Linked DNA regions of Lepisosteus oculatus. The protein of the gene in region 1 purifies or fractionates together with the protein of each later gene. This does not show direct contact. Links are inferred from orthologs where the notes say so. Each region holds a gene or a part of one and is shown on either strand. Other genes may lie near its edges. The genes, in order: slc38a9, lamtor5, lamtor2 and lamtor1.

Evidence for each region.
Region 2: the proteins of slc38a9 (region 1) and lamtor5 purify together in Homo sapiens (co-immunoprecipitation; 5 studies listed by BioGRID and IntAct, with this or other methods). This does not show direct contact. The link is inferred for Lepisosteus oculatus from reciprocal best matches to the Homo sapiens genes SLC38A9 and LAMTOR5.
Region 3: the proteins of slc38a9 (region 1) and lamtor2 purify together in Homo sapiens (co-immunoprecipitation; 5 studies listed by BioGRID and IntAct, with this or other methods). This does not show direct contact. The link is inferred for Lepisosteus oculatus from reciprocal best matches to the Homo sapiens genes SLC38A9 and LAMTOR2.
Region 4: the proteins of slc38a9 (region 1) and lamtor1 purify together in Homo sapiens (co-immunoprecipitation; 5 studies listed by BioGRID and IntAct, with this or other methods). This does not show direct contact. The link is inferred for Lepisosteus oculatus from reciprocal best matches to the Homo sapiens genes SLC38A9 and LAMTOR1.

Annotation. Positions count from the first base shown.
Region 1 is NC_090698.1:26,536,657-26,543,698, reverse strand, and holds the start of slc38a9 (neutral amino acid transporter 9), read right to left. Parts: upstream 3,020-7,042; 5' UTR 2,933-3,019; intron 1-2,932.
Region 2 is NC_090700.1:37,465,807-37,473,377, forward strand, and holds the start of lamtor5 (ragulator complex protein LAMTOR5), read right to left. Parts: upstream 3,017-7,571; 5' UTR 2,896-3,016; coding exon 2,861-2,895; intron 2,388-2,860; coding exon 2,326-2,387; intron 1,719-2,325; coding exon 1,601-1,718; intron 856-1,600; coding exon 795-855; 3' UTR 1-794. UniProt on the Homo sapiens protein: As part of the Ragulator complex it is involved in amino acid sensing and activation of mTORC1, a signaling complex promoting cell growth in response to growth factors, energy levels, and amino acids.
Region 3 is NC_090722.1:3,022,381-3,029,961, reverse strand, and holds the start of lamtor2 (ragulator complex protein LAMTOR2), read right to left. Parts: upstream 3,012-7,581; 5' UTR 2,883-3,011; coding exon 2,815-2,882; intron 2,209-2,814; exon of another isoform or gene 2,068-2,208; intron 1,915-2,067; exon of another isoform or gene 1,843-1,914; intron 1,659-1,842; exon of another isoform or gene 1,576-1,658; intron 1,089-1,575; coding exon 926-1,088; intron 1-925. UniProt on the Homo sapiens protein: As part of the Ragulator complex it is involved in amino acid sensing and activation of mTORC1, a signaling complex promoting cell growth in response to growth factors, energy levels, and amino acids.
Region 4 is NC_090700.1:12,730,399-12,737,599, reverse strand, and holds the start of lamtor1 (ragulator complex protein LAMTOR1), read right to left. Parts: upstream 3,006-7,201; 5' UTR 2,832-3,005; coding exon 2,790-2,831; intron 1,406-2,789; coding exon 1,260-1,405; intron 1,141-1,259; coding exon 1,063-1,140; intron 32-1,062; coding exon 1-31. Other genes in the region: sfrp2l (secreted frizzled-related protein 2-like), read left to right, coding at 3,799-4,321, 4,926-5,003, 5,404-5,714. UniProt on the Homo sapiens protein: Key component of the Ragulator complex, a multiprotein complex involved in amino acid sensing and activation of mTORC1, a signaling complex promoting cell growth in response to growth factors, energy levels, and amino acids.

The DNA.
Region 1 (7,042 bases):
TTAACTGTCAGTACATATTTGTTAATATTGTTATGGCTTAAGAGGTTGTAAAATTAAAAAACAATAGGAAGAAACGGAGTTGTTTACCTAGCTGTGGGTGGGCTGTAAAAGACAGAGGATCAAAATAAATCTACTCTGGTTAATTAAAATTGAAGAATACACATTTAACACACAGACAGACATCATAAGAAGGCAGGAAAGAAAGGTCAGGGAACAGTGATGAAGAGAGAGACAGGGAATTAACAGAAGGAAACAGAAGCACTAGGTGAGTGGAATTTGGTCTTGGGTCTTGTGAAGGGTTTTTAGAACAGGTAGATTGAGTCTCTTTGACTTTTGGACTTCCAGGATTATAGGAAAAACTGAGTTGAACTGAGTTGGTTTCTGTGAATATAGAACACCAGGCCTGATTTTTGGCCTGATTGGGCATTATACACTGTCTGATTTCAGGTTACAGGGATTCTGGGTTTCTGGGTCTGTAGAGCTTATGCTTGTTTTGGAAACTTTTATATTGGATGTAAGGCAATTTGTTGTTTAGCTATTGTTATAATAAATAACTTCAACTGAAGCCTGTCCGCTATGAACTAGAAAACTTGTCCGATGCCCTAATTGAAATTTCTGATGATACCATCTGTACTTGAACTATGCGGCAACATTGCCCGTTCAAATGCAAAAGTTCTTGTAATGGCCTTCCGATTTGTTTTTTACGACTAATTTTCATGGGTCTATACATTATTTTAAAACTAACCGGTTTAAGTAACTAGAAGGGAGTCTCTCACTGGAAAATGGAAGTTTGCAAAACCTATGGTTAAAACAAAATATTTTATTTTGTAAATACACACTTTTCATATTTAGATTTGGTGATAATAGCCATTAAAGCGCACAGATGATTTTAGATTGGTAAATAAAAAACTCTTTATTCGAATTAGGACTAAAACATGATCCACCTGTTGTGTACAAATCTCCTGCAAACAGCAGGTCTTCAGGGAGGTTTCAATCAGTGTGTTTGTACATGAACAAGCCAAGAAATACAGGAAGCGGCATAATGGGAAGGTGAATTAGATGCCTCTGCTCCAAGTTCAATTTTCAAAAATGAGGAACTCAGCATCTCTTCATTGAAATAAGGCAGGATTTTACATGATTATCTCTTCTAAAATATCATTACATAAAAATGATATTTAAAAATAAAAATTCTGAAATATCATTACATGTCACCAATGGCCACTTATAGTATTCAGTATTGACTCAGCTGTTTTAGTTATTCATTAAATATTTATAAATGAATCCACTACTACAAACCTTCTGTAGAACAACCTAGCTTATTAGAAAGGAGATTCCATTTCTTCCTAAGAAAAGTGATTAAATGTATGCAACTTCTGTACCACAAGGCACAGATAAGCATTTCAAATTCTCATTTTTGGTGTTGACCTGTTTTTTCACATAACAGATGTCATGATACATACATATATTTACACATTTAAATCCAAAGAGACCAGGGTAATTTTAAAAGTCGCATATTAGAATATATTTAACCCTAAGAGAACAGGTTGTGTTTGACATGCCAATGTACCCAAATCGAAATCCCTAGTGCTGATACAACAAATCCTATTCTATTTGAAATTCTATTCTAGTATGAAATAAATTCTCTTCAGCCTATGAGAGGCATTTTTTTCATTTTCTCTGTAGGATGTTTTTTTTGTGGGAGCTGACATGCCTTACATAACTGCGGGTTTTACTGCTATTTTTAATCCATTCAATTTGACAAGTATGCAGATATTTTCATTTTCTGTTACACAGGGAACTGTGGAAAGTCAACAATTGATAAAGGAAGCTACAAGGCAGCTTTCAGTCTTTCAGTAGTTAAAACGCCAACTAGCTGTAATCAATACATATAGCACAGGGTTCTAGAGAGGGATCACAGGGCCATGGTTAGGAGTTACACAGAACACAAACAACTAGAGAATTATACGTACTGGCTAAGTATACCGTCGTGATAATAACTGTAACGGAGGCACCTCTTCATAAAACCTCGAAATAAATATCTGTGCACTTTCCTGCAATAGAATAGACTGTAAGGAATTACGGCAGCTCTCATCGTTGACTATTCACACTACCCTGATGTGGAATAATTGATGGGGAAAAAAACAAGTAATTCCCGTCTGAGCTGCCGGATTTGTTTTGACCGCAACCTTGATAAAAACATTAATATCGTGTAGTTAAAACAATTTGTTCAGTTTGTAAGGGCAGCAACAGCTGCTCGTCCTTTCCAAGAAACGACAAGGGTGCCAGAATTCACAGGGGCTTTTTAAAAATTCCAGAACGGGAGAGATGTTCAGAGTCTTATTCTTGGCTTTGCTTTGCAATTGCTCTGCTTCGAAAATTACGTATAAATATCCATTTCAGAATGCCGCGTATCCTAAGTTATCATATACCGAGCCACAAATACAAGAATACTACCTAATACAAGAGTAAAAAGAAGCATAACCCCTCACATTTCAACGTTTGATGCTTTCTATACAGAGCGATATATATATATATCGGGATTACAAATCGGACATCCTTAAATTGAACTGTATGCAGCACATAAAATGAAATTCATGGAATACACATTTCACAATATAGGTAAACCACATCCATTTCACACATTTTATCTGAAAACGTTAGCTTTAACTAGCTCGTACGTTTATCGAGGTGCTATAAAGTAAAATACGTCTACACCTTTTCCTAAATTGTACTCAACTGACTCGTTTTAAAAACAATATAACTATTATGACCAGTACCGTAAAGTTAACCGAGAAATCAATTACTGGGTGAACAACTAATTTAAACTGTTAATACCAATATAATCCTTATGATTGCAAACTAGAAACCATAAAACAGCCCTGCTCTTTTATAAGAGCTATTAATCAACTTTAAAAAACCCGTTTAAACTTACATTAAAAACCAAAGACACCAGACACCAAACACCAACCCCCGGACCTCACGGTTCGAGCAGCGTTTTAAAAACAGGAAACAATGCGAACGTGCATTGCACATGCTTAGCTGTCGCAATGCCTTATAGGGTCTGTAGTGTTTTAGAAGGGACAGGTATTGGGCATACTCTCAACTCAACTACACTACCCAGAATGCCTACAGTTCAGTCAGCTGAGTTTGATACCTGGCTGTGTAGACAGTCCAAGAGATGAGAAAGAATTCGTGAGTCTCACCTGACTGAAGAGAAATGTGATTATTTCGTGCACAATAATGTATTCACATCTATGTTTAATTCAGAATATAAATGATTTAGTTTTTACTGTTTTTAAATGAAGAGGGGTATTGTCATTGTCATGTTTGTCATTGTTCGTTTTTATGTTTATATATGTCCTATGTATGTTTGGGACCTGAAAAAGGCAAAACGCTGTCTCTTTTTCTTTTCATTTCAGCATGGAATAAACCTTTACCTGTTCCTATGTTTGTCATGATTCTTAGGCCATAAAGCTTTCCTAAAAGAACACGACCAAATAACAAGAACATATCCTAAACAGGGCACAGCTTGCACTACCCAAACAATACAGAACCTAATAAGAAAATAATTCAAACGGTATAGTATAAAGACAAACATGTACAACATCTGAATGCTTAATAAAAGCAAAATGTACATGAATATTGAAGCTGCCTTGGGCTCATAAGATGGTCGACATGATAGGATCTTATGTAAATGATAACAAGGCAATTGTTGTTTGAGACATTTGCAAGAAGCATTGAGCGCTCAGTAGCACACATAATACACAACAGAATTAAAAGCAAAGTGAAATAAACAAGTAAAAAGGTCAGATTTAGCAGGTAAAGTATAAAGTTATGTGCTAGACTATATTCAAGCAGAAAGTGCTTTAAATAATCAAGAGCTAAAGCACTTAATGCCTTATACGTGAGCAGAAGAAATTTAGGGTACAGTTTAAAATGTACAATGCACTGATAAGCTCTCGTAGAATAGTGTGAGCTGAGAGCTTTGGATCATACTGAATTGTTTATCAATAATAATAATTGCTTACGCTTATATAGCACTTTTTTGGACACTCCACTCAAAAGCACTTTACAGGTTATGGGGACTCCCCGTCACCACCAATGTGCAGCCCCACCAGGATGATACAACAGCAGCCATAGTGCACCAGTACACTCACCACACATCAGCTATCATTAAGGAGGAGATCAGAGTGATGAACCCAATTCATAGACAGGGATTAATAGGAGGCCATGAATGGCAATATGGCTGCACAGACAGTTCACTGATATTGTTGAAGCTGATATATTGACTCCTTTTAGGAAAGAGCTGGCTGAGAGCTTTGGATCAATTAACTACTGAAAGAAAAAGAGCTAGAGGAGTTGGGCATAACAGCCTTATGTTCTAATACAAAGAAGGACAAACATGAAGCCCGTGTGTATGCAGATCTTAACAGAGCACCAGAACATCCAGAACTAGAACCAGTTATTAAACCTTTCCCAATAAGCCAGAAATGAGTTTTCCCTTTTTCTTGCCAATGTGTAGGTCTCTGGAGGATACTCCAAATCATGTTTTCCAAATTCTGGTCTTGGATGCCCACGTACCTGTGAGATTGTGACCTATTATTGACCTAATAGTGAGATTCTATTTAAAAGTGAAAAATCTTAAATTAGTTATGAAACACAAGTTAAAAGGTAACCTCCAAAATGCTTGCTTAGCTTCACAAGTCTTGGTTTCTAAAATACCCTTAATTTCATGTGTCAACTTTTACATGATTACCTTTAAGCAGCGTCTCCCCAACTTGTTTTCAGAGTTTGCTTCTTAACCGCTCTTAATAGGTGTAATAGGTGAACAGACACAGGTGGGACTGACAAAGTATCACACATTCCCACCCTGAATGCTTTTTGAACCTCACGAACCTCCGGAGATTCCAGTTGATTACGTTTCAGTTAACACGACGGAATCAGTGCGGTTCTGAGCCTCAGTAAGTGGTATACGGTTGTAACCCATTTCGTACCTCAGTTAACCTTTAAGGGCCTCTTAGCATAAAAATGTATCAAAACGCCCATCAGCTGTAAAAAGGAACAAAGAACCGATGAAGAATCGGGAGCAAGGTGCAGATAGACGCGCTGACTTCAAGAAATTGACTCGTGTGTCGTGACGTCACGGTGCCGAGCGGGGAGAAGGACGCGCGCGATCCTGCCCACGTGTTTCGTTCCAGCTGATAACCGGGCTCGGAGCTGAAACGCGGCTTCTTTCGAGACCGAGTGGAAGCGGGACTGGGGGACATTGGCGCGGAGCTATTTGCTTTGAAGTCAATCTCTTTCGTTAAAATAACGACGTAAATAAAATCAGTAATCCGTAAGTAATGTGCAACCGAGTATGTAGTTCCGTTTTCTTTAAATCGTACCTTTCCGCATGGTGAATGTTTTAGTGTAGTTGTATGTCTTTGTACTTTTTCCGTTTCCCTTCTATGTTGGCGTCAGGTGTAATTCTTGTCATTTTAAAATATTGAATTGCCCTTTCGTCTTTATTACAAGCACTTTGAGGCCGATATATATATATATACGCGCTATGCAAAATGGTGAATGGGTTTTATTTGCAAATGATTAACTGTTCCAACGCTTTGTCGTTTTTTCTTAAATACACAACTTAAATGGTGATTTTAGTATTGCAGTTGAGTTTGCTCGCAAGTCGGGCCTGCTCAGCCTTGGCTTTTTTGGCGCCTCGTTTGGGAGGAAACGTTTTCCCGGGAGTTTCTACGACACCCTTAGGTTAGATGTTATTTGGTGTGTGAAGTATTTTGCGAAGCGATTTCAGACTAATTCTGAATTAAAGGAGCTATAGTTAAATTGTGTAGTTAGGCTTGATGTATTAGATTTGGTTTTCCCCGCCTTTCTAAGGGTTTTGCTGATTGGAAGCAGGTGTGTGTTCTCGTATAACGAGAATATTTGAAGCGACTTAAAAAAAAAACCGACCAACGTATCCCAGTAAGAAGAGATGCACTGAGATGTTGAATGATAATTTAATTTGCCCCAAGCGAGCAGCGGAAAGGAAAATCATCCCGCCTTCCCTCCAATTGATCGAAAGCCTGCTGTACGTTCGCACCTTCGGTGATGGCCATGCTTGTGTTAATTGCTCGTTAAGTAAATTAAAACGATAGAAGACAAAAGGCGCCGCGTCTGGAGCTTAATTTTGACTCGGTGCGAAGACACTTTTGCAGTACTTACTCCTCAAGTAGTAGCCCAGATACAATCAGGAGAGGGTGCTGAGAGAATTGCAGGTGAACAGATGCACCATGAGCACTGTTTCCCGTTGGACTGAGGATGAAACTTTTGAGGATCCCTGATTCAAAACCAATTTCCTGAACTCCTCTGTTTCACCTCGACTCTGCACCGTGATGGCCGTCTTCGTTCCTTTTGCGTTCTTATTTTATCCGTAAAAATAAACGATCTTATATGGCGCCTTTAAAAGTAGCTTCTCGAAACAACGAGAGGGGATATGAATCTGATGTTTTGCTTTGGCAGAGCTGTGTGAGCCGGTTCTCTTGCAATCTTCCAAAAACATGTAATGCGCGATTGTCCTCATTCTCGGCAGTCGGTTTCATTCCTGTCTTTCAATCGGGGCGATCTCGAGGCTCTTTGCATGCATTGTACACAACAAAAATGTGTAGAAGTCGGAAAAAGAAATTCCAAAAAGTGCATCAATTATGAAAGTAAAAGAATTGTTAGGTGTCGAAGGCCATCGAGAGCAAGTCAGCCTTCAGGCGAGATTTAAAAATATCAGTGTGAGGGTGTGTTTTTGATCTGGTCGGGAATTGTGCCCCAAAGATGGGGAGGGGGTGGGTGGGCTACTGCTGAAAAGGTTCAGTCCCCCCTAACGAATGATGTGAAGGTCTAATAATACTAGTATTTATGGATTTTATTTATTTGGTTTATGAAGCACCTTTCCAAAACTCAAGGTTGCTGTACATGGTGATAGAACGAAGAGGAGGAGCTTAAAAGCCAGCCAAAGAGCTCGTACATGTGTAATACACGAGTGTTTGATTTTCCTGAATGTGAATGA
Region 2 (7,571 bases), on another chromosome or scaffold:
ACAGAACTCGCAGATAGCAAAGCACAGCAGAAAACATGCTTAATGACAAAAAGAGTTCAAATCCTCTGCTAAGTGCCCAGTGTTTCTTTCATAAAAGTCATGATTCAAACCAACAAATCATAAAAATATGCCCTTCATTTCTATGATGTATGAGATTTTGCTACCTGTCCATTTGAAAGTTCCATTTTCTGCCACTGAATCTCCACCAATGGTGTGGTGGACAAAAACACATTTAAGGGTAACCTAGAACTTGTTTATTAAGACTGAAACTAGCAAATTGTTTTCCCAGCCCAGTGCTGGCCAGACTATGACATAGCTGTCATTTGCTTCAGTTTTCAGTAGCATGACCTCATGCTATGCACCTTTTGGCGACCTTGGGCAAAGTTCAGATCAGTTGAACTTATGAAACATTGTACTGTACCTATCAGGGAGGCAGCCAGCAGACATTCACCTTGAAAAGCTCGTGTACATACACAAGCATTCCAACAATCCCCAAACTATTTGTAACTAGTTGCTCATTAAAATGGAGGAGCTGAGCACAAATGACTGAGAAATGCAATGTCTAACTTTGTGTCTGAATGACTGACGCCATCCTTCTATGAAAACAAAGCAATATGTTACTAAACTGTTAACACAAGAAATTGTATTCCAATGGTCTCAACATTCAAATGCTTATTCAGTTGTTTTTTATCTTTATTGGAAGATGACCATTTGGAGTTTGTTATGCGCTTCATAAAAAAACAAAGAAAAGGGGGTGGGGAAACAAGTAAAGTGTTTTCTTGTTGCTTGAAAAATCAGGATGCCATCTTGTGCACAGCTACTGTAATGGTGCCATGTGTCCTTATTAAGATGTTCCTACAGAGAGAAGAGAAAGTGTCTTTCATAATTCAAGAATAAATAAACAAGGACTTTAGTTCCAGGAATAAATGACCCCAAGCATGAGATGAGAGAGGTTTAAACATCCTCTTTTACAACTAGTGCCATGGTGTCATAAGACCTGTTTAATGCCCAGTTCCTCAGAGCTTTGGAAAAAGAAAAACTTTGTAGATCTGAGACAGGCAGCTCCTGCAGTTTTCATTCGCCTCTGACATTTATTCATTTAAACAAATGAAATATTTTAGCCAAAAAAAAAATCCTATTGTTTTGGTCTTCCGTTGTTGAACGGTATAGCCCTTAAGGAGTGAAGTTCTCATCCCCACTGCAGAGTTTTCAGGGCGCTTTGTAAAACTCAGAGACAACTAACACCCCAGTTTCTTAGTTCAAATCCACAGGGTGGCAGTATAAGCAAAGAAGCAAATACAGAAAAAATCCCTTCTAACAGACACTGAACACAAGCATTTTGTACCTACAGTAGCATGCCTAGAGAGAAATGGAAAGAAAATGTGACAACATGTAGAAAGGTATAAGAAACGTTTTGCAATCATATAGAACATTAAGTAAGACGACTCTGCATAAATTAGGCAATGTAGTTGAACCGCACCAATGAGAAACGAGGCGTTTTTAAAGAACTGGGTGTAACTTAATGAAATAGTAAAAGCCGTGCACTTAACAAGCCCAATTGTTCAGCGAGGCAGAGTCAGAGCCTCCTGCCCCCTCTTACCCAGCATCCGACTCCAGGCACACCGTGGGGCAGTCAGTGTGGTCCGCTGTCAGCTGGGCCGCCTGCTTGGCCAGCACTGACACCACTCCGCCGTGCTCATCAGACAGCGTGCCGCGGCCTAATGGCAAGACAGGAGCAGCAGGAGAGGGCAGGTCAGAGCCGGCACACAGATACCTGAACCCTGTGTATTGAAACGACTGCGCCCCCCTTTTCGCCAACACTCAAAGTCACAGTTGTGAAGGCACTGCCGTGCTTGTGGAAGCTCCATTCGTGCGTGAACAGCAGCAAGGCCATCTGATCTCCGTGCTGAAGCTTCCCATTGGACTAATGTACCGTTCTGAAATTCAGGACTGCCCGTAGCTGCGACCCTCTCTCCTGGTCCTAGAGAGCTCCCTTTTTAAAGGGAACCCAATCCATACTCCTTCACTCTTCAATAAATGATTGATTTAATTTCGCAAGTAACAGCTCAAATGGAATGAAAACCAGAATCACAGGAAGCCTTCCAGAACACGAAGGAAGGACCACTTCTCTTTACTATATTTTTCATTCTGCAGGCATTACAGAAAACTCTATGCAACTGAACTCTTGAAAAAGGTGGTAAACTGTAAACAGATTAAGTAAATTAAGAAGCACTGCGGCTCTCCAGGACTCTGAAACAACAGGTAGTGGCAAAGCGATGTTTTCAACAAAGCAGCACAGCCCGTGGGACAGGTGTGTGTACTCACAGCCCAGGTTGTGGCCCTGCTGGTCAGTGCAGAGGATCCCCACGATGGCAGGGTTCTTCATTCTGACAGGCAGAAGACAGATTTGTTTCATTTAAAGAGCGCGTATGTACCCTGATATCGCTCAGAAAGTAAAACGTTTGAAGTCTTTCTCTGGCGACATTAGTGGTAAAGGCAGGCGATCAACTTTTGGGTCAACGAAAAATAGAAATACTATAAAAACAAATATTTAAATAAAGCCATATTGAAAGTAAACAAATACATTATTTTAACTCAGATAACTTGTTAGTGAATCCGTGGGTATCTATTTTTTTTCTTTCAATACTAGGGTATGAAAATGTAAAAAGGAACTACTTTAGTACCGTTTTTGGAATTAGCCAATTATGTTTAGAACGATTATATATTAAAATCGCTGTCTATGTATAATTTATATTTAAAAAGGTCAAATATTTTAGATAATTAATTATTCCAGATCGCGTTTGTTTTTTCCCCAAAGTAAAACACTTAAAAAGCGGATTATATTAAAAAAAAAACTCACGTATCATCTAGATGCTGTTCTAGTGTTGACTCCATTCTTTAAAGGCTCACAGTAACATAAATTACAAAAATAAAACAATGTAAATTGTGGAAAATACAGCACAGAGACGTTTTCCTCACTATGGGCAGCAGTCAGCTGACAGTTACACACGTGACTAATACCTTATACGGAAGCCCACAAGAGTCAAACCAGCGTAGCGATATATACGATTTAGACAAAAGTATTGAGTCAACCTCAGTGACCACGTAAGATGTAGTTTTTCATGTATTAAACATTAGAGACACTATTAAACATTAATCAGCTTTTTTCCTGCCATCCCATGGAGTGAAAAGTGAAAAAGTGTTATTATTATTTATAATTAATAATTAATTAATAATAATAATAATTGCTAGAATTGTTTAGAAAATCAGAAGGCGGCACTCTGCGCCACAAAGAATGACTCACTGAGGACTGTTGGCAGGGTATTTGGATGTGAACTCAAACTATGAACCTAGATGTTCCTAAACATGGCCATCTTCATTCATCAAGTTTGAAAGGGTGTTTAATAAATTCTGAGCTTTGGGAACAAACATTATAAAAATACAGTGGATGCACTAGAATACAAATGGTCTTGATTTGTTTTTTTTATTAAAATAATGAATTGAAGTGATTAAATTTAGAACAGTTCATCCCTATACTCTTAGAAATGATGACTGACACAGTAATGATGTTCCTCCATTATAACTTATGGTCTGATGAGGATGGTATATCTCACACTGCTATTAAATTAAACAAACCTATGAAGAGAAAAGGCATTACTTTCTTGTAAACATTTGGATGTTGGCATTAAGATTCATAAGATTCTTAAATTGCTTTCCATAGTACTTTCAGGTCTGCCACCCAAAATGTCCTACAAAATCAATTTCAAAGGTAACAGCAAGGTGACAATAACACTGTTCATCGCAGTTTATCAAGAGCTGACGTGAGTCTCAGATTAAGCTCTTACATTGTTTTATATTACATTCTCGGTATGAGTGTGGCTGTGCCAGTCGCCCAGGTTTTAGAGAGAACATCATTTGTGCCTACAACTCTGTGTGAGTAGTGCAGTGTCCTGGCCCACAGAGCGCTGATAAATAACCCTGAATTAGTCATGGAGGAGTGATTCAGACCTAATCAGCCCTTGGCTTCATTAATTTCCCTGCGAGGAAGAATTATGGATTGAAATTGGAATCAGGCCAGCTGTCAAAGTCATTGATCAGGGAGCACAGAGATCTCTATTCTTGTATTCAGCTCCCACTCTCCTCACATGCCCAGCTGTGGATTGAGCAATGCAAACTGGTCACTGTACACAGGGGAGCTTCAGCCGTATGACCATCGTACTGGTCGCTGTAGTTACAAACACAAAACAAATCATGATAATAGTAATAAAAAAGTTTTATTTTCCTCAGAAAATACCATTTTAGTTATTTTCCCCATTTTATATTGGAATAAAACAATTCAGGTTTGATTTCCTTAAGCATTACTACTATACATTTTAATGTTTTTCCTATGCCTGTTTTTTTAATACATATCATGAAGGCAATGTCACAGTATCTTTATTAGTGTAAAGTACAAATGAATGAATGTACCATGTATAAAGTATATCATTTAACCTACAGGATATTGTAAACATATTAATATGGTAATCATCTTCCTGTGTTTCAAATATGCACAGTACATGTGTAATAGCGTTTCACTTGTGTGTTGTTAAATCAATTTTTCACTCATTATAGACTATTTTTCTCAGCTTCATAACATGCCTGATCATGGACTAATGCACCATACAGAGCCTTTCTCAGATGAGCTTTTTGACATTAACAGTCTTTAACATTAAATACTGGATGGACCCATAATGGAAAGGTGAAGAAGTGATGCAAACTGGATGAACTCACCAGCCCTCTCTTCTGCGGTATCATGGGGATTCCTTTCTAATTTGCAGTAATGATACCATATCTCGTTATAGTAAGGTCAGCCACAACTAGAATTAATTATTTTCCACGCATCTACCCTTAAATGGGAATGCAATACAGCATACAGCATCTATCTCAAGTCTGGCTATTTTTAGTCACACTGAAAGTGCATTGTATTTCATCTAATAAAAAGGATTACAAAAGTCCTCATCAGGGCATTTTACCGAAAATACCATCCAAGCTTCTGCACTTTTAGATATAACCTTGTTACAAAAAGGCAAGCATACATAATAAAGATGTTATCTACTGGGATTCATTATACTCAGCTTCTTTCCTAGAAAAGCAAAGGAGTTGTTATGTACAGGGATTTTATCAGAGCTAACCCATCCATCCCTACATGATTAAGATTCAGGACTACTAGAACTGTCCGCCCTTGGAGACAGTCAGTCTATTCCTGACTACACATTTTGAGAGGGAGATTCTTGCCTGAACTACATTCCCCAGAAGGCAGTAGGGGTAACTTGCCATCCTCAGTCAGCTGACTATTTGAAGGATGACAATTGGTCAGGTTCTGTTTAAAAACACAGAAGAGGAGTGGCATCCAATGACCATTGACCTCTACCAGCTCGAGATTTAGCAGAGCTTGAGCCAGGGAAAGAATAGAGCCTGGAAGGAAGTGAGACTGTTATTTGAAAACCACCTGAGAATTAGGTTTGGCATATGAAGGTGATGAAAGGGGAAGGTGATCTGCCCTTGATCAACTGTAGCAATTCAGGGTGTTTTGGAGGGATGGGAGGTTGTGCAATATTTAATAATGGAATTTGCCTTTCAAAGATCTTACATGGCAGTGCTTGGAAACACCAGGAGCTGTCAACAATTGACTTTCTCCAGGACAAATTTCTCAAGCCAGTCTACAGGCCCTTACTGATTTCGCAAAAAGCTGTCTTTGTTGTGATTTTCGTCTTTAGAGTCCCTTGTTAATCTGTGGGTTCAGGCAATAACATGGACTTTTTGAAACAACAGATGTGTAGAAAATGAAAGATCTCCATCCTGTTCGATTTGTAAATGTAATTAAAACAGTAGTATTTAGCATTTCTGCTATGGAGTTGAAGCAGACTTTTTTTCCAAACGACAAAGAAAAATGAGTTGATCACAAAGATGTCTCAGTGATTATTTCAAATTTCTTCTAAATTCTTGTTTCTCTCTCCAGTTTTCTTTTTAACACAAACTTTTTTGCACTTTGTTGAACTCTTTCTGAATGTGTCCTAAGCCAATTAAAGATGCAGTATAAAGGATGTTATGGGGGGGAGGAACAGTTAACTTCTGATTTTATTTTTAAGCTAGGAACAGAGATTTAAAAACCTGAATTCATCCTGTACCAACCACACTTGTGCACGTAATAGTTGAGGAGTTTTACTAAGCTCTGCTTTCTGATTTTCATAAATATGGATTTCTTCAGTGCTGTACCAGGATTCCCCTGTTATAACTAATGCAGACCCACTTTATTCAGACGTACCACCATCTGCTTGGCCCTTCCTCAGGTCAGCAGTTCACTGCAAGACCACCGATAACAGCATTGCCACGCGATCTTCTTTACAGATTCTCATCTCTTGTGAGTTCAGTCTTTTGAAAAGAGCAGCTCTATTTTAAGCATTGGTGGGAGTGCTGTCTGAAACTGCCTTGTGTCATGGTTTCAAATGGATGAAACTCCTTATCGCGAATCTATGCTGTACAATAGGTCACCAACAGATGCACCATATATCCAGAGATGGTGACTCGGGTTCTTTTGTGTTGATACTGGAAAGTCTTTTTATTGCAGTCCGACAGGTTTAGCTGGGCTGTTTCAGCTTCACACAGCTCTTGGTGGCAGGATGGTTTGTTTTACCTTATCTACCCATAACGTTTCTTGTCTATGCCATGTTGGAAGAAATAATGCAAATTATTTTCATTCAAGAATTTATGACAAGTGTTTAGAGTTTAATGTTTGTATCCATGTCTGTTTTCTGAATCTTGTGTCAAATGTTTAAAGATTGCAAACATTTTCTTACAAATGACTTCCTCACATCCACAGGGTGCTCTGGTTTCCTCTCACATTTCAAAGGCCTACTAGTGGGTTAACTGGCTTGTGGGTAAGCTGGCCGTGGTGTGAGTGTGTGCATGTCTGTGTCTGTCTGTGTCTGTCTGTGCCCTGCGATGGACTGGTGTTCCGTCCAGGGTGTGCCCTTGTTTGTGCCCATTGCTTGCCAGGATAGCCTCTGGCTCCTCCACAAAACCAAATTGCATTAAGCACTTCTTTTTAAAAAGATGAGTATTGAGGTTAGTCAAGTACTGTAGAAAAACCCAAAACCCAAAACTAGTGAGGCTAACTACCATATCATTCTAATGCAGCTCAAACTGACACCAAGTATTCTTTGCAGCATGAGGTGATCAGAAAAACAGATACATTATGGCATTCAAACCACAGGTTTTCCATCCAGGATCATAGCTGAGGTGAGTGAAGGTTCCTAGTTACAAATCCAGGGGGTAAGATCTTAATTTTCATTGTTGTCTCTCTACCAACCAGTGACCTTTCTTTAAGACATTGTTATTAATTAACTAATGGAACATCTGCTCATTCTACTTAGTCTGCAATTAGTTGAGAGACAGGACTGAGCCATCTATCATCAGAGGCTCCAGAATTTTCTCCTGGTTCATAGTGTTAAGCAGGTTGTTACGGCTATTTACGATGCATCTTCTGAATCTCTGAAGGGAGAGATTAGTGCTGTTTCATGTAAAGAATAAAG
Region 3 (7,581 bases), on another chromosome or scaffold:
AGATCAAGCGGTGAAGAACGAGGTTTAAAGTCTCATCCGAAGAGTAGGGCTTCAAAGCTCAGCTGCTGGAGACCCACACACCCACGGCAGCCCAGCGTAGCTCCTGCACTCAACCCTCCACTGTACTAACAACTTACCTGAGCGATCTGATTATTTGCCATTGAGTTTCCTACTCAAAAGTTGGGGATTTTACTTACGAAATGCGGTACAGTAGTTAAAACGTAACCTCCAAAATGTTTAGAGCTGAAACCAGTCAAATTAAATCTAAATATAAAAATGAATGAATCGATATTAATACATCCATTAAGAGTTCAGCTGTGGAACTGAGGGCTCGGCTGGGAACAGAAATCATCGGGTATGTGGTCCACCAGGAGCAGGACTGGGAGCCCCTGTCCTACAGCACAGCGCCCCCCGTCACTATGCTGAGACACTGTCTTGGAAATCCTGTCCCAGGGAGAAAAGCACCACCTACTACCAACACCGCTTACACTAGCAAACTGCTATTCCTGCAGTCCTCCCATGCCAGTGCAGTCCAGGTTCGGCCTTGATCAGCTTCCGATATCTCAGAAAAGAGGGCTAAGAGGTGATGAGGAACAAGTAAAGGTTTATTCCATGCTGAAAAGAGAAGAAAAGAAACACGTTTCCACGGTGGAGCCTTCTTCGGGTCCACAGTGGGAAACTTGTGTTTCCTTTCTTCTCAGCCTGGAATAAACGATTACTTGTTCCTTTGCAGACTACGCATGCTGACGCAGCTCCCCACTTGAACTACTGAGAGGTGATGATGCTATAGTCCTCTAGACTGCCTGTGGTCAGTGTTCGTGGTTGGTCCACTCTGACTCCTTGCAGCAGTAAGCAGTCTGCCGAAGCACTGGAGGAGTGGAACAGTCGACCCCTGGTGGGGACGCGGGGAAGTGCAGCGGCTCACCATGCAGTCCATGAGGATGAACTTCAGCTTGTCCTCGTTGAAGGCCTGGTGCCCGTTCTTGTCGTACGCTGCCCAGATGTTGCTGGCGATGGCGGCGGTCACGCGGGCATCTGTGTCCCCGTAGCCGGAGTAGGCCAGAAGGGAGCCTTCGTTATTCAGCAGGCTGGGGAAAGGAGCAGAGGGAAAGTCACCATCATCAAGTCTCTAACGGACTGCTGGAGCCCTCCTCTTATTCCAGGCTGGCTCCACTGAGTTTCCAAAGTAAGTGTTGAAGGCACAGTCTGTAGGAGGCACGGTGCTGTGGAGGTAAGCACTCCTGCCTCATAGTACTGGGGGTGCTGTCTGTGAGGAGTTTGCATGTTCCTCCAGGTGCTGTGGTTTGCTCCCACAGTGAAAAGGCATGCTGGTGGATTAATTGGAAGAACTGGCTCTGTGTGCGAGTGTGTATCTGCCCTGTGATGGACTGGCATCCCGCCCAGGGATGCTTTGCGCCCGTTGATTACCAGGATAGACTCCGGTTCCCCTGCAGTCCTGGATTACCATGACAACAGACCCAGGGAACCACAGCTAGCTCACTCGGATAACCGTGACGACCATGATGTTCCAGAGAACAGGATATCAGCCCTGGGCTTTGGGGAAACTGCTCACAATACATCATCATTAGTATTCAACTAGCAATAATCACGCCTCGGGCCAAACCTCATATACTGCGATACAGCCACTGTGCAAAGCTGTAACTGACCATCGGACACAGAGGAGAGGAACTCAGAAACTCAGAAACTGGCAGTGGGAAGAGATAAGGCTCCGGGGGTCCCCAGGCAGCATCGTCTCCCCGCTGGTCTAGTGGTTAGGGTTCGGCGCTCTCACCGCTGCGGCCCGGGTTCGATTCCCGGTCAGGGAAGGGTCTCCTTTTTTATGGGGGTATAGCTCAGTGGTAGAGCATTTGACTGCAGATCAAGAGGTCCCCAGTTCAAATCTGGGTGCCCCCTCTGTATGTGACTTTCATCAATTTATAAAGTATTATCTATCTATCATTACTGCACCCCAAACTCACTGCCCGGGGACCCCCGGAGGCTTATCTCTTCCCACTGCCAGTTTCTGAGTTTCTGAGTTCCTCTCCTCTGTGTCCGATGGTCAGTTACAGCTTTGCACAGTGGCTGTATCGCAGTATATGAGGTTTGGCCCGAGGCGCGATTATTGCTAGTTGAATACTTTTCCCAAACTAGTTATACTGCCATAGAAATCTGTAAAATAATCTGTGGCAAAGCGCTGTGAAGAGCGTTATACCAGATACATTGACAGACTGATGTGCTAGATGTTATGAAATTAGAAGTTAAACCTGGGATTCAGGTAAAAACGTGTACGAATACATAGAAAATTAATCACTACGTGGCCGTAAAAATATATTTTTTTAAAATGCTGTATACATTATTTAAAGTGAATTAATTAATTATTGATCTTCATTTGGTTATTTCAGGATGTTGCAGAGACACGTTCTTCTTCGGGTACTCACGCTGAGTATTTTATCATACGTTTTTTTTACTATCGCACAATGCAGTTCAGCCTTCCGAGAAAGCCTATATACCAACTGCCACCTTATTGAGTCGCGCTGGCATTGTAAACGTGCCGTTGCCGCTAAGGGGAAGTTCCTGCTGTTCCTGATGTTACTGGAGACCAAATACGAGCTTTTTCTGCAAGAGAGGCGAAGGCAGCTCAGATTGGGAAACTCGTTACCGCTTCCCACGCAGGTTACCCACGAATTTTGTTCGACAGCTGCGTTAAGTGTAGGTTATCTCCCACCCAGTCAAATATATTTTATAGCAGAACAGTCCGCATCAGTGAAAATATCAGGTGGAAACGTGGTTATTATAGCCTTCATCATTACTCACAGTGTACTCTGAACGCCGCTTGTATTCGCCTGGCTCAGAACTTGAGTCAGTGCCTTTGGTCGCAGCATGGTTGGAAAAAAGAATACGAAGAAATCAAGTATTAAATCTAAATAACTACAATACTTGTACTCTCCAAAATATACAGTATCCTCGCGGAAAGCACCACTCCGTCAGCTGACTGAACATTCCGGAAGTCACTTCCTGTTTACGTCTCGAGTCCACTGCGGTTCTGGGAATTGTAGTTTCCTTTTGCGACGCGGTAGCGTCCTGTGCACACGTCTCGATTGTAGTTTTCACAAAACTTTAACAGTTCCATTAAACAGCGGTTCAGTTTGTATCGCGGACAGATTTTATCCGGCGTAAGGCACGTACAGCGGACTTATAAATACCAGGTGGCCCCGTCTACTTTTGTGTCGTGTCCGTTTAGTTTGAGGCGCAAACAAAAAACTGTAGTACCTTTAACTCAGTACAGTACCCGAAATTAAGTACAGTATCTGTGTTTCTCCTCTGCCTGGGAGTACGGCCTTTTCTAGTGGGGTTTACCCTTGTAAAATCAACCCCCATCACCTTCCCCTTGATACAACTCACAAAATACTGCATCATACTAAACACCTGGGACTTGGTTAGCAGTATACATTACAATGCCCTCACGTTACGGACAGTAACACGCAGATTTAATTGACAAAAGTCTGAAGCGAAAAGCAGAAGGAAAAGCCTTGTAATGTGGTTAAAGGTTTTAAGTAGATAAGCTTATGATTTAGATATTACAATTAGCTTTGTTTTACGATAAAGTCTTGAAATACGTAGTACGAAAACCTGTTCAAGTTGTTATTGTACTCGAAGATAAGATAAACAAGTCTAGGCATGTTATTACTGTCGGTGTGATGTATAGTTTTCCAGATAACCTCGCCTCGGAAATGTTTAAAATACTGTACTTCTCATTATCATCATTATACACAGACGAGCGTTAACATAGAAAAAAGTTCACCTGTTATGTGTCTAATACCTCTCCCTCCATATTTGTGTGTAGAGTAGCTGCATTAGTTTCACCTGTTTTTAGAATAGTCACAGTCTGTGTCTGAAGCCTAGGTGTCTCAGGAGAAGCCCCTGGCCTTCGCTAGTCTGCACAGTAGCACAGTCCGAGCTCCAGAGTCTGTTGGGGATCGGGGTCAGTTACCATACACACCCCCAAGAAAGGCAGGCGAAGAGTCATTTCTGCGTTATTCAACAAAGTCTGCCAACCTCAGCACATCCCACCTATCGACAGGCGGGCAGAGAATCAAGGGGGCAGAGACGGGTTCTAGGGGTTAATGTTGTGGGAGGACACTCGTTAACCTAGAAGACCAATGCGGATCACTGCCTCAAGGTCCCGAGCGATCATCGTCCCTCCAAGCACGTCTTTCCTGCTGGGAGAAGAGCTGTCCAGGATGACAGAGCAAGTGTGGACACCCAGTAGCTTGATAAGCCTGACGCTGATGTTATTCATATATTATGGCCACCTCAGTCACCAGTTCTGCACCCAATCGAGCATTTACAGCATATTTAATAATAATAATAATAATAATAATAATAAAGCGCTTTACAGGTAATGGGGATCCCCTCCACCACCACCAGTGTGCAGCCCCACCTGGATGATGCGACGGCAGCCATAGTGCGCCAGAACGCTCACCACACATCAGCTATCAGTGGGGAGGAGAGCAGAGTAATGAAGCCAATTCATAGATGGGGATTATTAGGAGGCCATGATTGGTAAGGGCCAATGGGAAATTTGGCCAGGCCACCAGGGTTACACCCCTACTCTTTTCGAGAAGTGGCCTAGGATTTTAAATGACCATAGAGAGTCAGGACCTCAGTTTTACGACTCATCCTAAGGACGGCGCCTGTTTATAGTATAGTGTCCCCATCACTATACTGGGGCATTAGGACCCACATTGACCGCAGGGTGAGCACCCCTTGCTGGCCCCACTAACACCTCTTCCAGCAGCAACCTTAGTTTTTCCCAGGAGTCTCCCATCGAGGTACTGACCAGGCTCACACCTGCTGAGATTCAGGGGGTTGTTAGCTGTGAGTTGCAGAGTGATATGGCTGCTGGTAATATGACAATGCTTGAGACGGGTTTTCACCTCTGTCCACTAGGAGCGAGTTGACTTCCTTTCTCCTGGAAGAAGGTGCCGTGTCCCTCCTGCAGAATCCCAGAGGCTGGCAGATGTTACTCCACAGACCACACAGGGTATACAGGCCCAGCGCCCTCTTAAATCTCTTTACATTGTCATTGGCATTTTTTGTCCACCATAACAAAAAGACAAAGGATTAATCAAACTTGAACAGTTTATTCAAGTTGAATACGTATACTTTCTTTAGTCAGGAATCATGCGTCTTGGCAACAAGAAACACAGGCATGTAGATGTCCTCACAGCACTGGGGCCCTGGGGTCCTGTCTGTGTGGAGTTCGGATGTTCTCCTCATGTTCATGTGGGTTTCCTCCCTCAGGCCAAAGACATGCTGGTGGGTTAATTGACTTCTGGGAAAACTGGCCCTGGTGTGAGTTTGTACTTGCGTTAGTCTGCCCTGTGACGGACCGGCATTTCGTCCAGGAGGTATCCAGCCTTGCGTCTGTTTTTTATTGGAATATGCTCCCCCAGAACTCTATAATGGAAAAACCAGCTCGATACTTGACAACTGTACCCTGCAGTCTGTGACCTTAAACGTATGCTACCACTAAATGAGGAAGAGACTTCATCGGCTTTTAAGAGTATCACATTGCAAGGGATTTCAGGGCACCCGCCCAAGAGATAGATCTTGGCTAAACTGTAGTTCAACAGAAACTTGAATGACCTGGACTGGAGAAAATCAAACACCTGGAGTAGTTCCACCCGTCAGAAGTGACAGCTGAAATTTTCCCTTTTCTGTCGCTGCAGTCCAAACGGATTAACAGGACAGTACCCAACGTCTTTGGGTTAAGAAGGATTAATTCTTTTAGTTCTGCATTCATGGTAACTCCACAATATCTCACAATAAAGCTCATAATCAAGCAATAGAAAATCTTATTTTCTTACTAAAATAAAGTGCTCTGTGAGGCTTCTCACTACTGGTACTCTTTTTAAGTAAGTTGACATAAGTTGACTATTCTACCAAACATATTTCTATTTGATCGGGCACAAAACCATAGAAATAACTGAGAACACAAGTGACCAGAGGAAAACACATAAACACACGTATACTGTTATGTGCATTGTCTTTCGTGGCATAAAAGGTACACTAACATATAACACTGTACTGTAAACAGGCGTCGTCCTTCAGATGAGACGTAAAACCGAGGTCCTGACTCTCTATGGTCATTAAAAATCCCAGGGTGTTTCTCGAAAAGAGTAGGGGTGTAACCCCGGCGTCTTGGCCAAATTTCCCATTGCCCCTTACCAATCATGGCCTCCTAATAACCCCATGTCTGAATTGGCTTCATTACTCTGCTCTCCTCCCCACTGAGAGCTGGTGTGTGGGGAGCGTTCTGCCGCACTATAGCTGCCGTCACATCATCCAGGTGGGGCTGCACACTGGTGGTGGTGGAGGGGATCCCCATTACCTGTAAAGCGCTTTGAGTGGAGTGTCCAGAAAAGCACTATATAAGTGTAAGCAATTATTATTATTATTATTATTATACCCCATCCCAAATGAGAATTGGAAAACCTGAAAACTGCCTTTGGCTACCACCTAGTGGTCAGTTATGTGCACTCCAGATAGTCTGGAGATTGGCAATTGGTAAGAGAATGGCCATGACAAGATCAACATGACTGTTGACCAAATTTGAAAAAAAGGATGTTATGTGCTAACTCTACTATGACAATTCATTGGTTTAATATTTATGCATGTAATAATATGGCAGGTAACAACCACAGAGTTGAATAATACAATTTGAGTAAGCATTCTTTATACCACAGTTCTTGTGGTCAGTGCTTTGGGTGAGATAAGACAGCTCGCTGTTTAAAAGACTTAAAAATTAAACAAAACACAAAATAATCTGTGTACATGCACAGAAATCTCTGTGCATGTAATGTTTAATGATTTTTTTCAAAAATACACCTTTAAAATTGGCTGTTGGAATGATTTTGTTGGAATGGAATTTCTGCATTCTCTCCACCTTCCACGGCAACATCTCTCGTTTGCTTCCCGTTCGGTCATGGGTCCATTCTGAAAGCCTCTACCCCCAAAACAGGCGACTGCAATTCCTTTAAGACTTGCCCGTCTCTGTTGTGTAACGCCAGTCTGTGAGGGCTGGACACTTGCACTCTTTGACAGGGGCTTTAGAGGTGAGCAGCTGATGCTGGCCAGCGGGCGACTGCCTTCTGATCTCAATCAGTGGTGGAATGAAACTGTGCTCCCCTGGGACTGGTATTGCCTGTGAATGAAGGGTTTCAAAATCCCGGCCAAGCATGGCAAACAATTCAGGCCCCAGCTATTTCAAAACTTCAGTGCAGCAGCCAGAGGTAAACTGTACCAGGATGCTGGCCGTTCTGTTTGGAAGAGGCATTCAGGACTTGGTAATTGCCTCTACCACTGGGTTTGAAGCTGAATTATATTAAGGGCCTTTGATGAAGTGTGCTAACTACTCTGTTCCAGTTTCTGGCAAAAAAGAATGTCTTCCAACATCGAGCCGGGGCAGACATGAGACATCAAACATGCGCACACGTACCACTTTCCACATGTCAACTAAGAGTAGACCTTTTTGTCTGAATTGTTCGGTACAGTTCTTAAAAAAGGCGGCTGCTGCTC
Region 4 (7,201 bases), on another chromosome or scaffold:
CAGTGTGTTACTGAGGCCTACCAGCCTTGTACTAAAACATAAGCAGCAGAAGTTATCATTAGAATTTCCACAAAACGTATTACCTTCTTTCAAAGAAAAAACGATCCAGCACATCACTGGATTAATTGGCGTTTTAACAAGACTGTCGCTTGCATTCCATTACGAAGATCATGCTAAACCTCATCTATAATCTTCACAAGCTAAGCATTTCTAACAGCTAGAAGGCCATTAGTAAATTTCGACTATGACAAATTTGATATTCAGGCCATCTGAGGAGTTCAGTTGAAGTCAACTGCTCAAGGAGTAGCTGGAGTTACTGTTATCTGTTTAGTGTGTCAGTTAGTGGCCTTAATCCAAATTCTATTCAGAACAAGGCTGCCAAATGAGTTTACTGAAATGTTAATTTCCCTCCATCGTGCACTTAAGTGCAATACGTAAATAAAGTTTAACTCTATGGTTACAAATAAATCAAGAGACAGATACTCAATATGCTTTCAACCAAACAATCCTTATGAACAGACATATGACCTATGTCCTCTAAACAAACGGAGTAATTAAATTTAAGTGCCTACAAATTGTAAGGGGCTTTATTACTCTTGTGTAAATGATACAATATAAGTGGACCCAATTATTGCTCCGAGTGGTAACTGAAGTACTCTGTATTTCTGTGAATATTTGTATATCATCTTCAAAAGAGCTTGTCTTGCACTCATGGGTAGCCATCATCCACAGTAACACTTTAAGTTTGGTTTATTTTTTTGGAGAGTAAGTTGGAGTCCAGGGTTTAGCTGGATCATGGCTTCCACTGGCTACAGACAGTGGCAAATTCAGGACAGGTATCATGTTATACAGAAACCAAGCACTGGACTTTTGAAGAGATACATTTTCCAGGAAACATTTTAGATGTTTTTATGATTCTGTATCAAAAGATTCTAGCTTTAATACTTCATCAGGCAGAACCTGTTTATCATCCAGAACAGGAATTTGTTTTAAGGAAGCAAAGATATTTTTAAATGTCCTAAGAACAAGCAACATAGTAGAGAGTTGGAAGTTTGAACCTACCTATATTGTCGAGCTTTGTCCATGTACTCATGCTGCTCCATTCCCTGGGAGTCTGCAGCTGAGACATCAATTATATTCCTGGAGAGCAAAACAAGAATGAGCCTCTAAGTTCCCTGTCCCCTCAGTGTGTTCAGACTACCACACAGCAGCCAGTCTCACTGTGTGGATAAGATGCTTCCATTCCACCATCTACTTACAGTGCTGTCTTGGTGAGGATGGACGTGAGGAGGGCCTGCTCATCTGTCCGCGCTGAGGGAAGGCTGGCTGAATTCCTCTCTGCTCCGTTGGTTGGTTTATTGTCCGGGTTGGGATGGGGGATCAGCGGTTTCCTCTCATCTCGGTCCTGAAAGGCAGCAATGGTGCATTTCATCAAACGCAAGCAGGGAACACCGGGAGTGAGCGCCTTAGCTGGACAATTTAAAAATCGCAAATTTAGAAGCAGATGATGGGTTGCTTGCTAAATATAAACCCTGGGCTGTTATTTGTCTGCCAGGACTGAAGCTTAGAAATACCTTGCAAATCAGGTGATGAAAATATTCCATATCTCAGTACAATATTTTAAAAAGTACACTGTGAACTACACCTTTGACAAGAAATACAATTTTCACCATGTCTGCCAAACTGAACACAACGGCTAAGCAATACATGAGTTTTTACATTTAAAAAAAAATGTGGTAATGAATCACTATAGTCCTGGCTTGAATATGTACCCTGTATAAAATGTGACAAATTGTGTAGTGTTGTGTGAGAGTTTTGTGAACTATGTAAGTCTAGGCTGAAGCTTCCTAAACCTTCCTTAACTCAATAACTTTCAGGACAATTAATTGGATTTGGTCAAAGGCCTCCGGGGATGTAAAATAACAAAATCAACCCACTGCACAGCCAGATACATGTTCCAGCTAATCTCTGAGCTATGGGTTTCAAATGAAATCCTCAGGTGGATCCAAAATCACTTTTGCATAGTGGCATTCGCTTATAGTATTTTGGCCATAAAAAATGCTTAACCATTGAAAATCCAAGCCATAGTTTTAACAATGCAAAACTAAAAACAATGCAAAGTGTTATACTATAAGCAAATATCTTTCTGAGAAGACATGATCAAATAACATCCTGACACATCACTGAGGAAAAGGAACAGTAGAGGCTGGTGTCCAATTGGCTCATTGTGCATGCACTCTGAAATTGTTCCGCCTGTCACTTTTTTTGTCCCACATGACTAAATATTTCATGCAAGGGACAGTTTGTCATGTGATTTGCACATTATTGCAAAGTTCCAGAGTCATGTGACAGACGAGGTTATTTTGTCATGCTGAATCAGATTCGTTTGTTGTTGTTGTTTTTTTTTTTGCCAAGGTTGAAAATTAGAGAAAAAAAATAAGAAATCAATAAATCTCATGCTGCACATTCTTTCGTTTCAGGTCATGCAATCCTGCATTCCTGTAGCCTTGTCATTTGGGTACTTTAGAAAACCATCTTTACTAAGTTCTAGCCCTAGTATGTTTGCCCGTGTAGTACTTTTGCCCTTTAGGCCCTACTAAACACACTACGTCTTCACAATTTTTGGTACAAACATTTTCTTTCTATACGGTAGCTAAAGGAATAGAGATGTTCTCTTCGGGTCAATCCAGTCCCGCATACTCCCTCTCTCAGTCTCCCAGGTTATGTTACATTAGGAATGCGTGTTACTGCTACCTCGACCATTGCTTCACTAGAACAGATCACAGCACCTGATCAGTGGCCTCCGTCTCGCTGCTATAACAGCAACCCATGGTATCCTCTGGGGGCTCTCGGCTCTCTGCCAGGCGAACCGAATGCAATCTCCAGCTTTTCTTCCCGGTAAACTAATTAAAGAAAGAAAGAAATTCCGGTGTGCAGGCTTGGGAAGACGAAAACCAGCAACCCCCTTCTCTTCTGTTCCTTCCGATCTTCCCCTCTCTCCAAACCCCAGGCTTGTAGTCACATGACAACAGCTCTGTAGCAATAACATATGACTTCCGGCTGACGTGAAGCGGAGTTGGGAGAAACCAAAACACCCTCAACACGTGATACAGGAACTGAAAATTGACCGTCTTGTCCGCCAGCTCCGTGCAAGAATAACAGTGGGGGTAGATTGTGATAGTACAACTACTGACATCTTTGTTGCTGTGTTTTGTACCGTTTTTGTTGTTATTACGTATGGTTTTAATTAAACATAACTAAAAAAATGTTGATTGCAAAGAATTTGAAAATAAGTGTAAATTACTAAAGCTGGCACTTCCAACACGTCCTCAAAGCACTGTAGTTAAATAACAGGTCTCAATTTTATAACCCTCAATAAACACATTTCCCGGATGGTATTACAGATGGCATTACACAATGCCTGGTTTAAAAACCAGTTTGACAGGATGTGTCTCGACCATTTCCCTCTTTAATTTAGGTGAATTACAGATCAGTCATGGCATTTATCTCCTAGCAGAACACCAGAGAAACACTCTTTCTCAAGCTCTGCGAAGACGGGGGACTGTACTTGGCGACTCGTATTCGTACTTGCAGCTAATGGAGGGAGAACCCAGCTTATCTTTCTGGCAAGTATGGTGAATGTCAATATTTAATCTTGAAACAAGAGACTGGATGCCGAAATGCCTCTTAAGCATCAGTTTGAATAAGTGAATAACGTCAATTAACTACACCGAAGACTGATTGTGGGGTTAAGAAACCTGATTTAAAGGCTTTTTAGTACTCAAAAGTACGAACGTCATGATGGCGGTATCCATTCCGTTTCAAGTTTGGATACTGCTCACATCCTGGCGCGTCTGTGCAGCTGACCCTTCGCTACAGTTCGCCCCCACTGGATTCAGCGCCAAGCGCCAGGTCTGCAAACCCATTCCTAACACGATGGGTCTGTGCCACGACGTAGGCTACAGAGAGATGCGCCTTCCCAACCTGCTGGGCCACGAAACCATCAAGGAAGCGCAGCAGCAGGCCGGCTCCTGGGTGCCGCTGCTCTCCAAACAGTGTCACCGCGACACCAAGAAGTTCCTCTGTTCCCTCTTCGCCCCCGTCTGTTTACGAGAGCTGGAGCGGCCCGTCCGGCCGTGCAGGAGCCTGTGCGAGGGAGTCCGGGACGGCTGCCTGCCTGTCATGAGCGCTTTCGGGTTTCCCTGGCCTGAGATCCTCAACTGCAGCCAGTTCCCGACCGGCGCCGAGGTCTGCATCCCGCCCACGGCTTCTCCGTCCAGCGACAACGGCAACCCGGGGCCCCACAGCAACGATATGGACGGTTTGTTGGAATTCACCTGTCATTGATTGTGTTGGTTTCAAATACTATTTTTAAAAGTCTGTCATCGAAAAGACACAGCGCGCTTTGCGAATTTACCTTTAGAGGCGCCATATAAAATCAATGTATTATTATTGATTTAAAAAAATCTGAAAGCGCATAAATTTAAAGTGGAAAGCAAGAGATTCGATTCTAGGGAGCGTGTTATGAAACGCGCAAAACGATACGTGGTTGTTAAGAGGTTTTGCATTAGACTTCAATGGTTGTGCCACTTCTCGGCTGGTCGTGTTTGATGGCAGAGTAGTTAATACTGTCTATAACAATTTTCTTCCCCGTAACATGACATCTACTTTCTATGAGGCAGAGGTGGGAACCTCGAAACATTGTCTGATATTAATCTACCACTAAATAGAAACACAAATTCGAAATAAAATACTTAAACGTTGTTCACTTGAAATGCTTACCACCCTCCGAATGTTTGCCGGTGAGTTGCTGCTATCTTTGCTTTTCTTTCATGTGCACGTTTTAAAGACGACTCAACTACGAATATGTTTCTAAAAAGATTTTTCCTTGAAAATAAATTAAGATTCCTTTTTCCTTCGCACAGGGACATTGATATGCGAGGCGTGCAGTTTGCCAGAAGGTGGGAAAGAGATTCTGGAGAATTACTGCAAAAGCGATTTTGGTGAGTTCAATAAAAAGTGGATGATCAGAGCATGTGCTGGAGTACCTTTCCTAATCCAAATTTTGTACGCTCCTCGTATGGTGCATGTGTTTGAATTCTATGTGCTCCTGGTATGTTATATTTGTGTTTAATTCGTGAGATTAAATCAATCCACCCAGCATATAAACATGCCGATTGCTTCAGAAAACACTGATTTAAAGTAAATTCTAATTTAAATCCAACTGGATGGTAGTTGTATTTAAACAATATCAATATCAGATATTTAAAATATCAGCTTTTAAAGAAAATATGTAGGAGTAAGGCTACCATCTCAAAAAATACCCTTATTTTTACCTGCATTTCCACATAAAGACTATTAAATTTACACTTTTCTGCTTTATTTGTCTGGATTTCTATACAGTCGTGCGACTAAGGGTCAAAGAGACACAGTTGCTGGGGGCTGACCGGAAGATTGTTCCTAACGGCAGAAGCCGGGTGGTGCTGAGACAAGGTGACCGCGCTGAGGAGGAGTCGATGGCTCGGAGCGCCCTCTGGCTGCCAGAGGGCAGCAGGTGCGCCTGTGAGGAACTGGATGGTCCCTCCTCTGGCATCATTCTGGCCCTGGGGAGCAGACAGAGAGGTAGACTGGTTCTCTCCAAGCTGCTGCTGTGGCAAAGCTCTGACAAGGAGCTGAGGAAATTCCTCAGGGGACTGCAGAAGCTCCGCTGCTGAGTGGATGGATCTTTACGTGTGTATTTAATGGGGAAAATAGGGGTGGTGAATATTAATAGAAGATATAACCTCCCTGTCCAGTATAACAGAAAAGTTCTCAGGGGTACAGAAACACCACAGTATAAATGACAAAGGTCTGGTTACATTAAATACCTTTAATATCAAATATGGAAAACGTTTCCCTCACTCAGGAAAGAGATTCCAATGTTTAAAAATGCTTTTCTGCATCAGCCATGTACCTTTGGGTCTCTTAAGGGCAATACAATGGGGAATTTAACTGAAGGTGTTGTATGTAACTAGCCATTAACAATTTAATTACTATATCAGAAAACATTGAATTATTTATATAAATGACAGCATTGGTGCATACGTTGTGTCATTTTCAGAAAGCATTTTTACAAAATAATAAATAAACATCAGCATTGTTAAGCAATAGCTTTTCCTATGATTGTTGTGTTTTTTGTTGCATGTTGTTTTATTACTGTAAATGAAATGGAAAATATTTCATATGTAGGTGGTGGTTGTGGGAGGGGGCATTAAATTGAGTCTACATTAAATGACTTTTCAATTTTTTTCAAGCCTAACAAATATCGTACCACCCTTTACAATACCCAGTAACATTTTTAGATCAATGTTACCTAAATCCAAGTGTCCAAACACAAATATAGTAAATTGTTGGACAGTACAGTAATTGCCGAGGTTTTAGAATTTCTAAATGGTTGTATAACAAAAATAAACCTCCATCAAATCGAAGGACTTCAAACCAAAAAACACGTTGATGGGGATGTTGTATTTTCCTGGTTTTTTTTTAGTAATGTGTTTTTTTTCCCATTAAAAATTGCTTGAAACAAAGGCTTTGTGATCTTTGAACAAAGGTCACATTACCAAGCCTCCCGGGGGTGAACTTGTGATGCGTTCTGGAGAATTCCTGTCGACGTGTTGCTGCGATAAGCGGGGCAGGTAACCCTATCCTTGAGGATCCCGCACCTCTTTCTCTCTGCGAATTACTGGATCAGCTTGGGGTCGCATCAATAATTCACACACCTCCTCTTAACAGCGGTGACTCGGCCAATTTTACCTGTCTTGCATTTAAGGCCCGAAGCTCAACACAGAGCTGCGTTTCCCCCAGCCCTAGAGTCTTCATCCAATATCTTCTCGAAACAGGTTGGTCTGAACTGCATTACCAGTGTTCTGATATTCAAGTGTGCTTCCGCTGTTTGTGGTCTGGGGTCTTTACTGTGATTAGTTCACATGCTCTGCACTAAGCATCGCTGTGAGGGGAACTGTTCCCACACTCAGGATTGTATGACAAACTGACCTGGGATAAAAGACCTGCAACATCTAGCTGTGATGAAACTGAGTACATAAATGTAAGGTGCTACTGGTTTGCTTGAAGCTTCTTTTGAGGCTCTGTACAAAATCAACAAATGTATGTTTCTGTGGTGTATACTGTAGACCACAAGTACAATGTATGGTATTATTTTTAA